4 linked regions of the Saccharomyces cerevisiae S288C genome follow. The gene in region 2 interacts genetically with the main gene of each other region. Each region holds a gene or a part of one and is shown on either strand. Other genes may lie near its edges. The genes, in order: DYN3, SCS2, ELF1 and RIM8.

Region 1 (4,395 bases), on a different chromosome or scaffold from region 2:
TTGCTGATCGCTGCGGTTGAATACTTCAAGTATGGTACAAGAATTAACTATGAATGGTTCCATTGTACCCCAATCAAAGAACCCCAGTCTGGCTCAGTAATCAAGCTTTGGGCACGTGGTGGGCCAAGTTGTGACAAAAGAGGCGAATATAAAACTATAGTAAAGAGAATCACTAGAGATTATGAACCAAATGATGAACATCTCTCGTTCTGTATCATCGAGAATGATAATGTTCCACCCGTCCACTACCCAATTCACGAAGATAAAGGTGAACCTGGCTACGTAGCTTATGTCGGGTACGACACAGACTCTGAGCTGGTTCAAGAACTATGTGCTGATTCCACAATTTATCACATGTGAATTCTTTCTTTTACATACATAAACATAGAAGAAATCCAACCCTGATATAGGGATTTATAAATGCGTGTGCATATCTATATTTATACATATAAAGAGAAAAAAATTGCTCATGATAAAAGAAGTATCGCCTGCCCACTTTCCTAAATCCTCGAATTTTCCCTATATTTTGCGAACATTTTGCCTAATTCCTCTTGAATATTAACTTTGAAAACTTCTAAAGGATATAGTTTATCAAGGTCGATACCAGAGGTTGTTTTCCTATCTTCTCTGATTTTATCAATTGTTGGTATAAAGTCCATATATCGGGCCAAAAAGTGTTGCTCTTTCACCTCAGTAGGCTCAAATCTTTCGTCTACTGTTTTTATCAATCCAATAGAATCGCACCCCTTCGGTATTAATATCTCACTGCGTTTGACCATTTCAATATGATCTTTCATATCTCTATCTTCACAAAAATGCTTTAGAAGCTCTTGGTATTTAAGCCTTTGTGCTTCCTCTCGTTTCTCTTCGGTATGGTCTTCGCATATATAGAATAGTGAGCTATCATTAAAATAGCAAAACGATCTTAACGTTTGCAAAATGAAGTCAATATGTACTGACTGCCATACTGTAGTGTGTCTTTGTAAGTTTAATATTTCGCCACTGTTTAAGCACCATACAGAAAATTCATTATCGTCATTCAGTTGCTTAATTTTATTGAATGCGTAGGATAGTTCATTCAGCCACAACTTTTGGTCGTTCAGTGTCCAATCTAATAATATGAGCCAGCGAACCTTCGAACTATGTTCTTGTAAAAACGGCTTTAGAAGATCTAGTGCATCGTCAGTGTTTCTTATTAGCGTGTAAACATCGACAGAATAATTTTCCTTTAAGTCGTTGGTCCATCCTATGGTGGCGTAATTAATCAAAGTGGTATCCAGTATTGAATTGCTTCCCTCTGGAAAACAGATATTTATAAATTGATGCAGTGTTTTACTTGATGGGGAATATATGATTGCTGTTATCGTAGCAGTCTCTGTGCTGTTGATTGTGGATTCATTCTGAGACAATAATTTGTCCCAGGCATTACAATTATCCATTAATACATACAATTCTTTTATCTTCTTTTCTTTTTGTACAAGTTGCGGATTACTTCTCTTTGTTTACCTTTTTGCTTTTATTTTTTTTTTTAATACGTGCATATATATATATATATTTAGTTTAGGTCAGAATACAAAGATAATTATGTATAAATGGGCGCATTTGGAAACTATTTTACATACAACTGAACAAGTTCGGAACAATCTATCAATAATCTGCACAATTATATAATCCGATATCGACTTCAGCCTTCATATCTGATGAATTATTTGCGATCGATTCACGTTTTTCTTCCAATTCTTGAATATAACCGTCTTCAACACCAGTGACATAATTTCCGGTAAATACACCATCTTCGAATTTGGTTATTTTATCAGTTTTACAACAATCAATCAAATCTTCCAATGATTGGTAAATGACTCTTTCACAACCGATTACTTCCGCCACTTCTTCATCGGTTCTGTTATAAGCAATCAAGTTCTTTGTGTCTGTTAAGTCAATACCATAAATATGGTTGTAACGAATGGCTGGGGCAGCTGAAGCGAAGTAAACCTTTGTTGCACCGGATTCCTTGGCCATGTTAACAATCTCTTTTGAAGTAGTACCTCTGACAATAGAATCATCCACTATCAGAACCTTCTTACCCTTAAATTCAGACTCCATAGGGTTAAGCTTCCTCCTTACTGAAGAAACCCTTTCCCTCTGGTTTGGCATGATAAATGTCCTGCCCACGTATCTGTTTTTAACAAAGCCCTCTCTATAAGGCTTCCCTAACACATTAGCACATTCTAGTGCACATGTTCTTGCAGTATCTGGGACGGGAATAACAACATCAATATCTTCTGGCTTCAGTTGCTTTAGAATATTTTCCGCTAATTTAGAACCCATAGCCAATCTTGTGTGATAAACTGATATTCCATCCAAGACACTGTCCGGTCTGGCGAAATATACGTATTCAAATAAATCAGGTCTATAAGAGTTAATAGGAACCACTTGTTTGAACTCAGGTTCACCTTTGCTACAGTTCTTAGGGATGATAACTGCCTCGCCAGGCTTTAAGTCACGATATTTAGTAAAGTTGTGAGCTTTGAAAACAACACTTTCTGAAGCTAACATATAGTCCTTAGTGCCGTCCGGATTTTCTCTTTCACCGAACAATAATGGCCTAATACCATTTGGATCTCTGAAACCAAATAATGCAAAACCGGCAAGTAAACCAACGCAAGCATAACCGCCACGGCATAAACGGTAAACACCTTCTAACGCGTGGAAAACATCTTCATTGTTAACTCTGTACTTGTTATGTTTTTCCAGTTCAGCAGCAAAAATATTCAATAGTAACTCCGAATCACTGTCCGTGTTAATATGTCTATGAACGTCTTCATCCATATATCTCTTCAATGATGCAGTATTCACCAAGTTACCGTTATGTGCCAAGTTAATACCGTAAGGACTATTGACGTAAAATGGTTGCGCTTCTGAATTAGCCGAAGACCCGGCTGTAGGATATCTCAAGTGGGCAATACCCATGGAACCAGCAAGACCGGAAACACGTTGTTGGGTAAATACGTCACGAGCCATACCATTACCTTTACATTGGTAGATTCTACCACGAGAACCACAGGTAGCTATACCAGCTGCATCTTGTCCACGATGTTGTAGAAAAATGCATCCATCACATAACTCCGGAGCTACTGGAGTGGTTTGGTTTGCTAATACAATACCTAAAATACCACACATTTTTTCTATTCTGCTGTTTGCTGTACCTCTTTCTTTGCTAAACTTATTAGAACGAAATCTACTACTTTCAAGACGATGTCTTCGCAACTATGACTTAAAAGTGAATAAAATTGTACGGTGGCTGTTGAAATTTTTCTAAAATGAAAAAAAAAAAAACGAAGGACTTTACCTTGACTTAATAATAAGAATCTGAAAAGTACAAACCTATTATTGAAATTGTAAGTAAGCAAACTTTAAATACACCGAAGCTCTGACATTTGCCGCATGAGCAGTCATTCGGATTCATGATCCCAGATTATATTTTATTATTCATGTTCGTTCTAACTCTGTCCTGTTATTTTCGGTCAGGAAGAGTCAATACATCGGGTCATTGAAAAACCGCGGAGAAAGATAATAACTTTTCTTTTTTCCTTAAATCTTGAAAAACTTATACATGTATAAATCAATATTTACTTACGAGCGTTCATAGTTCTTGCTGGTCTTTTAGTTCATTCTCTAAATGATCCAGATCTTCTTGTATGGTCCAAAGTTCGCGGTACAATGACCCTGGCATAGCCAACAGTTCAAGATGCTTACCTTCCTCTCTTACTCTTCCGTTGTCAAGGACTATGATCTTGTCTGCATCTGCAATTGTCCTCAGTCTATGTGCGATGTATACACTCGTTCTCGAACCCGAAGTAAAGTTATCTCTAATGGTTCGTAAGAGAGCTTGTTCTGTGTGTGTGTCCAAGGCGCTTGTGGCCTCGTCAAAAAACATGATCCTTGCATTCTTCAATAGTACCCTTGCAATTGCCAGCCTTTGCTTTTCACCACCGCTGATCATCAACCCTCGCTCCCCGACGATGGTGTCAAAACCTTGTGGTAATTTCTTGATTAAGGGTGCTAGCTGGGCTTTTTCAACTACAGTTATCACTTCCTCGTCGGTTGCGTCAATACGACCGAACTTTACATTTTCCCAGATAGTGTCATTGAAAAGTGGTGTGTCCTGTGGTACCACACCAATCACCTTCCTCAAGGCATCGATGTCATATTCTTTAATATCTCTACCGTTTATGAGGATCCTTCCGCTTTCAGGATCATAAAATCTAAAGACTAATTTTAAAATGGTGGACTTCCCACTGCCCGAAGACCCAACTATTGCGGTTTTCCAGCCTGCTGGGATGGTAAAGCTGGCATTCTTTAAAATTTTCCTATCGGGATGATATCCAAACGTGA
Region 2 (3,960 bases):
ATTTTGAAAACGTGATTTTTGGTGTTTCTGAAAAGATGGCGTTGATCTATAATGTCCAATGTTGTTTTCAAATTATTGGGTTGGCTACTGTTAATAACACGCCCTTTCTTTTAGCGATTCTGTTGAGCAAAGAAAGCTGATATGATAGACAATGATACCTCACTGAAAACGAGGCTCAATGACTTTATTCGTGTTCCTGTGTTCTTTGCATATTTCAGCAATCGCTGAAATTTTTATAATACGTATGAAGCAAAAGCCCGACTCCGAAAGCTGTTGTGTGTAAATAGATTGAACGCGTTGGGAATGTAAAACGCGATTAAGAATTTCTGATTTAACGCAGGTGCTAGGTTATTAATAGTTTCTTACGCGGATATGTAGGTTCAAGGGTCTATGTACGTATGGAGGAATAGCAAAAAAAGAATGAGTATACTCTTGCTTATTTAGTTTAGCTTCAAAGCTGCGGTCAGGCAGGTGATCATGATTATTAGCCCCCAGATAAACAAGAGAAGACCTGTGTATTTGAAAATCTTTGTCGTCAATGGCACGGCTGTCTTGTGCTCAGTTCCTATAAGCTTGTAGCCAAAGAGCCCGGGCAGAATGAAAGAAATAGAAGTGGAGCCTGTGGCCCCAACAATGGCCAGTACACGGGCCAAGGAGGAAACCGAAATGGCGACAAGATATGATGCAACTAAAATGCTGCACGTTATAACAATAAAGCTCTTGCCTCTCAATGGAGTCTCCTTAGGCTGATAAATAGATTCTTCTTCAATTACCTCATTGAGGTCAAGGCTACTGTCGCGAATCAACGGAGAACTTTCGGTAGCAACAGTGGGTTCATCCGCCGATGTAGCACTTATACTTACATTTTCCTCGGCGAAGTGTTGCAAAATCTGATGGATTGAAGCTCTTGCAGGATGACACTGTAGTGGGAACGCCAGCATCACCAACAACACAATCGCTATTCTGCCGATGGTGCTCGAGACCGCTTGCGGGTACAGCATGATAATGTTTCCAATGATGTTGTCGCCGAATGTCAGGTATCCAGCACAGCCGATCGCAATATATAAGATGAGAGCCAAAGATATTGCTATCAGTGGAATCTTCATCACATGCTCGAACCGGCTTGACCTCTGCTCATTGATTATTGAAAACATATTGTGGTGACATGTGTAGGCAAAGACAAAAATTGGAAGAGTGTTTAGCACGTTCAAATCATGCGATTGTGGTGGCAGGAGGTAGGAGATCCGGCCTTTCAAGCGAAGAATCTCATCTGATGGTGCTACATAGTGCAACAACACCAAAACACACAAGTACGCTACAGAAGAGATGGCCACCATGGAAGCGTACCTCAACGAATTCAACTTCTTCAGAAAAGACAGCGGGGCCACGAAAAAAAGCATGATCAGTGAAATTTGCACGTTCCTGTTCAACAGCCAAGCATTTCTGGTCCACACAGACATTATTTGGGGCATCAGATCCCCAACTACAATCATATAAGAGACGCCCACACCAAAACACTTGATAGCGATCGCTAGGTCAAACACAATACCTAGATTTGGGTTAATCAACCGCGTCAGAGCACTGAACGAGGCCCTCCCCTGTGGTACGTATTTAGCTACACGAGCTTGTATGAACAAGCTTTGCATAGCGCACGCCCCACACAGCACTATCATTATCACTCCAGGAATTAATCCAAACGGCTTGAATGCGTACGGCATGGCCAGGATACCAGCACCGCACGCCGTGTGTAAAAGTGTCAGCACACCTGATCTAATACTAGCTACCATATGATGCACGATTCCTTTCTATGGTTATTGAGCTGTGAAACTAACCCGTCGTTCGACCATTGTTGTTCTATATACTTCTAGTTGCTGTATAGATAAGCTCTCCGATCCCCTAAACGTGCGTGGTGATCTTACTCTTTCGCCCTCGCTTTTTTTTTTTCGCTTGTTGTTTTCGCAAGGTGAATAGAATGGTTTTAGTAGCAAAGTGCATTGTTTATTGTGTGGTGTGGTTTGACGCACATTCTGTGTTAATAGTGTAGCAGAAGGGTATTCTACAATCTCCGCGAACCTAAGTATGTCTGCTGTTGAAATTTCCCCTGACGTGTTGGTGTATAAGTCTCCATTAACGGAGCAATCGACAGAATACGCTAGTATTTCCAACAATTCAGACCAAACCATTGCATTTAAGGTCAAGACCACAGCCCCAAAGTTTTACTGCGTGAGACCAAACGCCGCAGTTGTTGCTCCAGGTGAAACAATCCAGGTTCAAGTTATCTTCCTGGGTTTGACTGAAGAGCCTGCCGCAGACTTTAAGTGCCGTGACAAGTTCCTGGTTATCACGTTGCCTTCTCCTTACGACCTCAATGGCAAGGCTGTTGCAGATGTTTGGTCCGACTTGGAGGCTGAGTTCAAGCAACAGGCTATCTCTAAAAAGATAAAAGTCAAATATTTGATAAGTCCAGATGTACACCCAGCACAGAACCAAAATATACAGGAAAACAAGGAAACTGTTGAACCAGTAGTCCAAGACAGTGAGCCAAAGGAAGTGCCTGCTGTGGTAAACGAAAAGGAGGTCCCTGCTGAACCGGAAACTCAACCTCCCGTCCAAGTAAAGAAAGAAGAGGTCCCACCTGTCGTTCAGAAAACCGTTCCTCATGAAAATGAGAAGCAAACGTCCAACAGCACTCCGGCCCCACAGAACCAGATAAAGGAAGCCGCAACCGTACCTGCAGAAAATGAATCATCCAGCATGGGTATATTCATATTGGTTGCACTCCTTATCTTGGTTTTAGGATGGTTCTACAGATAATAGGGAGATTGAGGATATAGCTGTATTCTAAATATATATTTATATATGTGTGTGTTTTGCCCTTTCCTTCCTTTCAGTCTTTATTTTACTTTGTTTTTCTACAATCTTTTTTTATTGTTTCCTTCTGTAGCCTTTACAATACTAGAACAAGGAACTAAAAGATCATACTTTCCTAACTTTTTTATATGTTTTATTTTTTAAATAGGAGAATAATCGATAACTATACCACTGTTGTAACATATTACTTGTTTAATTTATTCATGTTCGGTTTCCCTAGTGTAGTAGGCGCTATCTTGGGCAAATAACTATCCGTTATTAACCATAACAATGCGGGGTCTACTAAATGAGGGGAGGGTCTTGGATGCACATTAACGAAGATCTTGCGAGGGGGTCGCGCCTAAAAGGTCCATAAATAAATGAATACATAAACAGCCACCTACTTTCAGTTTGTTTTTTGCTAGGTCTCATAGTGAACGAGGGACTCACATATTGACAATATAGTAACATGGGCTTATCGCGCTGGCACGACAAGAATTCAAGGCCAGCAGAGGAAAAGAGCGAAGAAATGCAACAGGATGCGCACTACTACGCCCTTGCGGCAAGTGATAGTTTAAATGCAAGTGTTTCTAACGAATATGGTAATCAAGTAATGAACTCGTTTTGGAAAGTGGGTATAGACTCTCCCTATGTGGACGATGAAGCAATTAGAAACAGAGATGTCGAAAATAACTTACCTTCTTTAAAGCAAAGTGTTTATAATGCTAATGAACCAAATGCTACCTCGTCTGCATTTTCAACCGCTTCATACGCACATGAAACTTTCGATTTTAGAAACCTTAAACTAAGATAAGGGGGGATGAAGAATAAGAATAAACGCACGTACAATGCATATACAACCGTTTCTATGTACCATAAATATAATTATCATATAATGAAAAATGAGAATAAAAAACAATGATAACAATGAAAAAAAAAAAATTCAATTAAAGAGAAAATTAAACTTATTTTCTTAAGTAGTCCCTTAAATAACTACCGAGTTTTTCAGCACCCTGTTCTACAACGTCTCTCAACATCTGCAATTCATCATCTGCGGAGGCATTAAAATCGATGAAACCGTTATTAGAATTACGGCCATCAAAATTCCCT
Region 3 (4,003 bases), on a different chromosome or scaffold from region 2:
GTAGCACATCTGCCATACTATCAAATGCATCATCACGAAAAGGCGCAGTGTTGATGGATAGTAAATATGAAAAGGATCTCTTCTTAGGTGTTCCAAGCCTCGCTTCACGTGTAACATACACAGTTTAGAAGTTTACCAAACCGCGGCAAGGCGCTGTAAGGTTCAAGAGGCTTTGAATTATGCTATCTTACTATCTTGCCGCAAGTTGCTGTCAGGTGTAGTTCCTAGGCGGCTCGTTGACAAGACCCTTCTGCCCAATGACTTCTATATAAAGTATGGTTTTCTTTTTAAATACAGTAATTCCATGAAAAAAAGAGGGCCAAAAAGATCAAGCAATAAACCAACCGATATATAAAACACAGAACTGCAGATGGGTAATATTATAACGGATACGATAATTATAACCTCGGATAAGTGCGACATTGTTGATAATGATAATGTTGAAAGAATCCAGGTTTGGCTATCCAAGAATATCTTAAGGAAGTTTCAAATCAATGAAAATGAACCACTACAGTTGATTATTTTGAAAAGGTTTAAAAGAATACTGTTGATCTGCCCCAGTCATGATATATCTCAGCATGTTATGGATGCGTCTCGTGCTTTAGAAATGGAAAATTTTAACTTCAGCTACTCCTTGCAAGACGGACAAAGGAATTTAACTAAACAATACTTGAAGGTACCAGAGAGTGAAAAAATGTTCCTGATATCGCCCCCAGCATCACCACCTCCCGAATTCGATTTCAGCAAATGTGAGGATGCGCCACAAAGGCATATACAAAGTCATATACAACAGGACCAGCAGCAGCGGTTGGAAGCTAGCCAACTATTGCCTAATAATCCAGACAAAAATAACAATGGTACTTTCACGTTATTGAAATCAAAGGTGGGCGCAATTACCATTGATAGATGTCCCACGAACGATGGAAATGGACAGATGCAATTAGCGGACCACGTTAAAACCGCTTTCCCACCAAAATCTATATTCGATACTGATGACGATGATTAAGATGGCGAGGCGATTTGTTGGCTTAAGAGACTTAAATGCTTACGGGTGGTTGCTTTAAAATATAAAATATATATGACCTAAGTAAATATGGTTTTTTCTCAGGACCGGATTATTCATCGTCACTATCTACCAAGGCGCCTCTGCCTCTTTTAACTTGGCCTATCCTCTCCTCGTCCGAGTCTACCTCCTCTTCATCAGAATCTATTTCGCCATCATTTTGCGTTTTAGCATCTTGCTCTGAATCACTTTCGTAATCACTATCAGAACCTTCGTCACCATCATCTGTGTCACTTCCACGGCCAGAATTGACTTCTTCGACGGCGTCAAACCAATCACTATATACATCAACAGGCTGTGATAATGAATTTATGCGCGTTTGGAACGACTGCCCACAAATCTTGCACGATAAAGTTCCTATACTATTTTTTTTGTCCAGAGTGCATGAAACTGATTTTTCATGATTACAAAATAAACAATTGAATTTCGTATCTAATTTTTGGACCAGTCTCTTGGTAGGCTTTCTTGTTGACTTCTTTCTTTTACCCATGGCTCGTTAATTGTTTTCAGTGTTTTTTATGACATTCTTCTTCATAATTCTCCCCATCTTTATTACTATTCCTTTTCCAATTATTTGTAGATTATTGCTTTACCAAAGTTTAATCATTTTAAACGTTTTTGTTTCTTCCGTTTTCAGAATTTTTACAATTTGTCACCGAAATAGCAGTTTTTGTTTAATTTTAACGCTATGGGGTAAAAATTTTGGGCCCAATTTCAACTGAAAGAAGAGATATTTTAAATATGATAAGATAATCTTATAACTACGAATTTATTATTTTGTACGTGTCATAATAAATAAGGAAGTGCCTGAAGAGCGTTAAGTAACTTTGGAATCTTCGTTATGAAAACATTGGCTATTTGTTTCAGAAAAAAGCCGTTTAAGTACTTAAAAGAATAGTTATGTTTATATAGGTATGGTGACGAGGCTCTACATAGGACTAATAATGGTGATTTCCCGTCCAGTTTGGTTTACCCTCGTACCATCAAAAGCCTACAAATTCACAGGAAAATCGAAAAAAGATCCTTTCAAAGGTATTTTTCGTCGTGGTTTATTTCCAATGTTGTCATCTTTTTGTCTAACATCTCTCCCACCGATTTTGTCTCACTAACGCGATGATTTTGAATAGGAATGTAGTTTGAACTGTGAAATCATGACAGAATAAGCATGTTACATATAAATATTGGTTACCGTATTTCTTACGCTAGCATACTTCAAGTGTCTTTTGTACTTCTTAAGTTCTTTTGTTTTTGGATAATGATTTAATGCGACACATTGAAAAGGATAATGAATTCTTGCTGGGAACCTCGAACCAAATATTGTGACCTGGAAATGTTGTGTGCAAGACACCGTGAAATCACGCAATAAGACATATCTATACCGTGACAACTCCAAAAAATCCTAAAAACGGCAATTACGTGCAGAAGAATAACGGAAGTTCAGATAGTGGAGAGAAGAATTTATTCTTGTCCCTAAAATGCCCACCAGAGCAGCACTTCTAGTAAGCACATGCATGCTCCACCGCAAATCATCATATTGACGGTATCACACTATAAAAGAATAAAACATGTTGCAAGGCATAATTACTACCGAATTGCAAAAAATTGAACACCAACTTAGCGTGGTTCTATCAGAGAACGACATATCAATTCCTCACAATGAAAAACTAACTGACTAGAATACTTCCACTTTGGTGCCGCATTTGATGAAACAGCAAATAATACCTACACTTAAGTTGAATGAAGATTTCGTTTTCTTTGAGATAGCTCGAGGACATTCACGAAAGAAAAAATTTTAAAGAACAGTTTATAAGCTCTTTTTTAGAATCCTATTCTGTTTACTTCACTGTTCACTTACTTTCGGTCCCACATCTACAAAACATCTACAACAAGAACGTGGGCGATACAGCAAAAAATCACTTGAAATAACAGAATCAAGTTTCTTATCCGATTTCCTACTTTTGAGCTCCGGCTTATGTTGAAGATGTTACTTTTCTTTGTCTCTAAGTGATCTTTATTTTTCTGGCTCCAGTGAAATTTGGTAATAGCATAGTCACTTCAACTAAAGTCTGATAGTAATACTTGCAAATATTGCAAAACTTGGAAGAATGTTAATGAATCATTTCTTGCACCATTCTTTCAATCATCTCAATCTCCTGCTGTGATGTTTAAGTATAACATTGAAGACTATGCCCTAATTTCCAATGTTATTTAGTTTTAAGCATATCTTTGTTTCTAACAGGAAACTCAGGCCCACATCCGCAAAAAAATATGTGCCAAAAAACTTTCAACACTTCAAAGATACTTACCACTGCAGGAAAATAATCTACGTGTAACGGTTTGAAAATAAATTTGACTTCATAATTGGACATAAGTACTCCATCGCCATCCCTTTTTAAAGAAGTTTCCACAAGAATGAATGGCTAATCGCAACTAAATCTTTTCCTTGCAAACGTAACACAGTATCGACATTTTCTTACTCAATCCAACGAAGGAATAACCTATCTAAAAAATAAACGCCGTAGTTTTCAGCCCACAAGACGTCATTAAAAGATTTGTTAATTATAAAAATAGAAATATTTCTACCAGCATGATTATTCGTTACTTGAAAGTCCCCAATAAATTTCACTGTTTCCGTTAACTGTTGTAGTTATTAAACGCAGCAAACAGATTATTTTGAACAACACCGGAGAAACACGCGCAGACCCATTCGAGTTAAAAATAGTAACTCGCGATCAATCAATGCAGGAAGCACCGTAGGAATTAGTAAGAACTCGTATTTTGATTGAAAATGCCATGAAAGCAATTGACTTGCTGCAGTAAAAAGCGCTGCCACAAACTTTGTAATTTTCGACAATGACGTTCTTTTCAGATGGTTACTGTCTTTTTTTGGAAGAAACAAAAGAAGGTACTTTTATGATGTTATACTAGGCAAAAAGCCTA
Region 4 (5,212 bases), on a different chromosome or scaffold from region 2:
AGAAGCCAGCTCTTTCAAACAATGGGTATTATTGAAGAAAAGGCTCTTTTTGTTACGTGTGGGGCAACGGTGCCATTTCCAAAGCTCGTCTCATGTGTGCTAAGCGACGAATTCTGCCAAGAATTGATTCAATATGGATTCGTACGTCTAATCATTCAGTTTGGGAGAAACTACAGTTCTGAATTTGAGCATTTAGTGCAAGAACGCGGGGGCCAAAGAGAAAGCCAAAAAATTCCAATTGACCAGTTTGGCTGTGGCGACACCGCAAGACAGTATGTCCTGATGAACGGGAAATTAAAGGTGATCGGGTTTGACTTTTCGACCAAGATGCAAAGTATTATACGTGATTATTCAGATTTGGTCATATCACACGCTGGAACGGGCTCTATACTAGATTCTCTACGGTTGAATAAACCGTTGATAGTTTGCGTAAACGATTCTTTGATGGATAACCACCAGCAGCAGATAGCAGACAAGTTTGTAGAGTTGGGCTACGTATGGTCTTGTGCACCCACTGAAACAGGTTTGATAGCTGGTTTACGTGCATCTCAAACAGAGAAACTCAAACCATTCCCAGTTTCTCATAACCCGTCATTTGAGCGATTGCTAGTTGAAACTATATACAGCTAGTTAGTAAGATTTTAAAAGACGAAAAGAACGGAAAGTAGGACAACTACCAAAAAAAAAGATGGAAGGTTTCTTTGGTTAGTTAGCAGTATCCGCGTAATGCCTTAGACGTTTTTGATCAGAAAAAAATAAAACTTGATTTCGCCCAGGATCGAACTGGGGACGTTCTGCGTGTTAAGCAGATGCCATAACCGACTAGACCACGAAACCAGTTTTTTGATGTTTCGTTTAGGGACAAGAGTCCTATGAGAGTCCACTAAAATTCTAAAAATAATTGTATCAACAACCGTCATGCAGCTGTTGTATCAAGAATCGACCACCATCTATAGACTATTGTTCATAGCTGTATTACAATATCATATAAGATGTAAGGATAGAACGTGAAGATCGAGAAACAGTCAGCAGATTTAATGGAAGCTGAAATGCACGGATTGATAATGTAATAGAATAAGTGACAACATAAGAAATGAAAGAAAAAAAATAACATTAATATAATTTAGAAATGTTAGTTTCCTTCTATGAACTCTCGTATCCCTGGGGAGGACTTTCAATATATTCAGTATACCTACCGTTCAAATGATACTCTAAAATATCATCTATTAAGTGGTATTCAGGTTTTTCCCACGCAAGATTGAGTGCGTCAGGCAAAGCCACGATCGCAGATTACTCTCCTAACAATATTAAGATCGTCAAGAACATCCGGTTTTACTCAAGCGCTTAATACAACACGTCGGCTTTCGCTCAACTGCAGTATATTGTGTCTGTAACCTCTCCCGTCAAGTTTGCGCCACGGGCCCAATAACCAACTTCTGCGCCATTGTTACGGAAAAGTGGCCATCTTTGCTATGCTCGTAAGGCTAGCGCTCTCTAAGTACGCCAGCCCAAAAACTCCGTATCGCTCTTCATCGGAATTGCTATATCTACAGCCGACGGGCACTCTATGTATACTCATATCACAGCCACTGTTGCACTACATTATTCGCAGGGACTCCGAGATCGCTGAGCATGTTGCTAAGCAACTTACCAAGGTTGGAATGCATTATATAGTCCGATATAGACCCCGCTCGGACTATATTATATAAATTCAAATAGCACTTTCAACGAGTGTCTTAATCCGTCCTAGTTCCTGCTCTCGCTCCACGTTGTCATCCCACCCATTCGCACGGGTCTTCTGTGCGAATGAGCCACAACGGGGCCGAGTTCAGCGCGTGTCCGCCTACAACGTCCGCCAACTAGTGGCAATTGCTAGGCTACGCCGACCACGCTGACACGCACCGTTCTACTCGCTCTATGCTGCGGTGTGACGTGTGAACGCGCGATCGTTCGCAATCGTATCGTTTGCCAAGAAAAAAAGCCAATCGGAGAATCTGAAAATCGCTATTCGGCTTGCAGGTCGCACGCACTCAGAGTACGAAATGCCAAGTACCGGAATTTCCTTGGCCTTTTTTAAGTTTCTTCTCTTCTATTCTTTTTCCCCTTTCTTTCTTCCTTTGCTATCTGTCTGGTTTAAATAAACATAGTATTTTTTTGTGTCTAAGCCTCTTCCTCTTCTCTCGTACTTGCTCTACTACCACTTTACTTAATCGCCTTTCTTTGTTTTCTTTCTTCGTTATTTGTTCTTGGACTTTTCCGCTCCAATCCCAACGATTGGCTTCAAAACACGTTCTACTGTCTAGCAATTTCTGCAGGTGCCATTTTTCTTAGGCTTATACCCTTTCCTTTTCCCCTTACATTTGATTTCTTCTTCAAAGTTCCTTATAGTATTATTGTCTAAGCTCTATTGAGTCAAAAGTAACAATCTAGACGAAGAAAAAAAAAAAATAGAAAATAGACATCCCCGAATACGCATCATCTCACGCACGTACAAGATTTTAACGTTAAAGCCAAAGTACGCTAGTATAGTATCATCAGCATCACCCTCACTATCGGTAGCATTGACCAAACATGTCGTTACTGAGACTGTGGAACAAAGAATCAAGGGCACCATCAAAAATAAAGAGTCATGGTATTGTTGGCAGTTACGGCAACAGCATGCTGGCCCATAACAACGTGAAGCAATTTCGTATAGACATAGACGAACCGCATAGAGTATGGAAACCGAATGAAAGCATAACCGGAGAAGCGGTCATTGACATAAAGAGAGACATAACTAACGTAGCGATCAAATTATCGCTAGTATGTGAGGTTCGCGTGAAAACGGGGAACAGTCCAACCTCCAAGAATAAGAGAATTGAGAAAACCTTAGAGAAGTCGACGTTTCTTTATGGACAGGACTACGTAAAGACAGCTTTTTCGGCTAAGGAAAAGAAACCGCATGTTGACAAAACCACCATTCTCAATGGTTTAAGCAAGGGGGAACACAGGTTTCCCTTTAGGATACGAATACCACGAGGCAGAGGAATGTTGAGCTCTATAAAGTTCGAAAGGGGCTCGATAACATACTTCCTCTCTTGCACTTTAGAATCCCTCAACAACATCAACGGATTAAAAAAACCGGAAGCAAGATGCGAACGTGAGTTTGCAGTCATAGTTCCGCTGGACGTCTCGAGGCTGCCCAAGCCGAAAACTAAGACAGTGGTTTTACAATCAGCATCTATGGTCCAAAACAAAAAGAACAAATCTACAGAGGACGAATCCTCATCGTATACACAATTAACTCAAAAGTCTACTACTTCTAATTCTTCTAGCAGTTCAGTAAACTCCAAGACGTCCCCCTTACCAAATAAAACGGTGACTATATCCGTAGACATACCGCAGGCTGGATTCATGATTGGTGAAATTATCCCTATAGACGTTAAGATTGACCACTATAAGCCTTTCTATGCCCCTGCGGGTCTCACCACCACTTTGGTGAGGATATGTAGGGTGGGCGGTGCAGGCAAAGATGATCCTATGGAGACTTTCAGAAAAGATATATGTCAGAGTATCTCTCCTATATATATTAACCCTGAAACGTTGCAGTTTCAATCTAGAGTTTATCTGAAAGTGCCCCTTGATGCATTTTCGACCCTTACTACTGTGGGAAAATTTTTCTCCTTCCAATACTATATCGAGGTTATGGTTAACTTATCAAAAAAAAACGTGGTTTACACAGAATCTAATAGAATAATAGGAACTCCTATTGGAGAACAAAATGGCTTGGGCGTAGAGAATAATATCAACCGTATCCAAAGGAAAATGCTACGTATGGTCAATCCAGAAACGTTGGAGAACGATTCTGAGGGTTATGAATCCAGTATATTTTTCAAAGATATGGTAAATGTGGAAAAGCTAAAGAGACTGAGGAATGTAACTGGTATGTCCATAGAAACCGTCATAGGAACGACGAGATCCGAACAGCAGCAATCTGATGCAAGCATCCCATCCCAATCCTCAATCACGGCTCCTCAAAATTCTCCATCGAATTTAAGAGATTGGTTGGCCCCATTAAATGCATATGATAGTGACGATGTTCCAGTTCCAAAGTATTCGCCAAATGATAAAGTCAGTGTACCGTCGGAAGACAAACAAGAACTTGAACAAAAAAGACTACAACAGTTAGAAAGCGATCCTCCCCCTTGTGATGACTATTAAAAAGTGCAGGTAACAAGTCATATACTCGCAGCTTGCGCCGTGTTGGAACTAGGCGCCTTAATCATGTTTGCATATTTCCACTATCCCAGCCACGTAATGATCCATGACATTAACATAGAAAAAAAAAATCGAAGCATGCACAAACCTGAGATTTATATATGTTCATGTGTACTTAATATACGTTTAATGATTAAAACTATAGCCGTCCTCAGGCAAACTGAGATAAGAAACGAAAAAATAGCAGTAACGTAAACGTTATTCTATATTTATAAAGACGTCAAAAAAAAAAGTGATTGTGATATTGAGATGTAAGCTATATACCGAACTTTGAGCTCCCTCACGTGGAAAATATGATAGATTGTTGCCTCATCATTGCGGAACCGCATTTTTTTTTTGTATTTTTGCCTCCCTAGTTTCAAAATGCACCAAATTCTCCCCTTAATGCTTTTTGTTTTAAGTCCCAAATAGCCATCCTTTCATCATCGGGCAAGATAGAAATTTGACTGTCATTCAGTTGTAACACCTGTTTCAGTAGTTCTTTCTGTTTGTTAAGCACAGCTGGATCCACCACCTCGTTCACGCTATTGTTATTCGTAGCCGATGCCTCTTCTTGCGGCCTGGAAGCTAACGGGATCAAATCATCCACTTTACATATCCCATTCGTTAGCAATAATTCAGCCGTAACAAAACTCAACTGTGGACACAGCTCTAATAGCGAAACAGCATCTTCAGGATGCGCTCTTGTCCATTCTTGGAATTTTTGTAAAAATTTCAACTGCACCTCTTTCGGTTTTTTAGCTAGTTCGCTCGATATCATCATAGCAGGGGTGGTCATGTTTATGTTAACGTCGATACCAGAGGGCAATTCTGGAAACTTTTGACTTAGAAAATTGGCATTTCCGCTGTTTTGAAAGTCCGGCCCATTACTATTATTATTATTATTTCCATTGTTGTTATTGTTCCCATTAATGTTGTTGTACTGTTGTTGTTGCTGTTGTGAAACTCCCGATAT

Evidence for each region.
Region 1: mutations in SCS2 (region 2) and DYN3 together harm fitness more than expected from each alone (negative genetic interaction), as found in Saccharomyces cerevisiae (4 studies listed by BioGRID).
Region 3: mutations in SCS2 (region 2) and ELF1 together harm fitness more than expected from each alone (negative genetic interaction), as found in Saccharomyces cerevisiae (2 studies listed by BioGRID).
Region 4: mutations in SCS2 (region 2) and RIM8 together harm fitness more than expected from each alone (negative genetic interaction), as found in Saccharomyces cerevisiae (2 studies listed by BioGRID).

What each region holds. Positions count from the first base shown.
Region 1 is NC_001145.3:863,912-868,306, forward strand, and holds DYN3 (dynein light intermediate chain), read right to left. Parts: upstream 1,440-4,395; coding exon 501-1,439; downstream 1-500. Other genes in the region: sphingosine N-acyltransferase subunit LIP1, read left to right, coding at 1-360; ADE4 (amidophosphoribosyltransferase), read right to left, coding at 1,648-3,180; ATP-binding cassette Fe/S cluster precursor transporter ATM1, read right to left, coding at 3,644-4,395. UniProt on the Saccharomyces cerevisiae protein: Component of the cytoplasmic dynein which acts as a motor for the intracellular retrograde motility of vesicles and organelles along microtubules. May play an important role in the proper orientation of the mitotic spindle into the budding daughter cell yeast.
Region 2 is NC_001137.3:399,056-403,015, forward strand, and holds SCS2 (phosphatidylinositol-binding protein SCS2), read left to right. Parts: upstream 1-2,079; coding exon 2,080-2,814; downstream 2,815-3,960. Other genes in the region: AVT6 (aspartate/glutamate transporter), read right to left, coding at 441-1,787; YER121W (uncharacterized protein), read left to right, coding at 3,320-3,664; GLO3 (ADP-ribosylation factor GTPase-activating protein), read right to left, coding at 3,816-3,960. UniProt on the Saccharomyces cerevisiae protein: Acts as an endoplasmic reticulum (ER) membrane anchor for cytoplasmic proteins via binding to the FFAT motif of targeted proteins. Regulates phospholipid biosynthesis by modulating the subcellular localization of the transcriptional repressor OPI1.
Region 3 is NC_001143.9:150,819-154,821, reverse strand, and holds ELF1 (Elf1p), read right to left. Parts: upstream 1,554-4,003; coding exon 1,116-1,553; downstream 1-1,115. Other genes in the region: RCN1 (Rcn1p), read left to right, coding at 371-1,006. UniProt on the Saccharomyces cerevisiae protein: Transcription elongation factor implicated in the maintenance of proper chromatin structure in actively transcribed regions.
Region 4 is NC_001139.9:411,531-416,742, forward strand, and holds RIM8 (Rim8p), read left to right. Parts: upstream 1-2,571; coding exon 2,572-4,200; downstream 4,201-5,212. Other genes in the region: N-acetylglucosaminyldiphosphodolichol N-acetylglucosaminyltransferase catalytic subunit ALG13, read left to right, coding at 22-630; RNA15 (Rna15p), read right to left, coding at 4,616-5,212.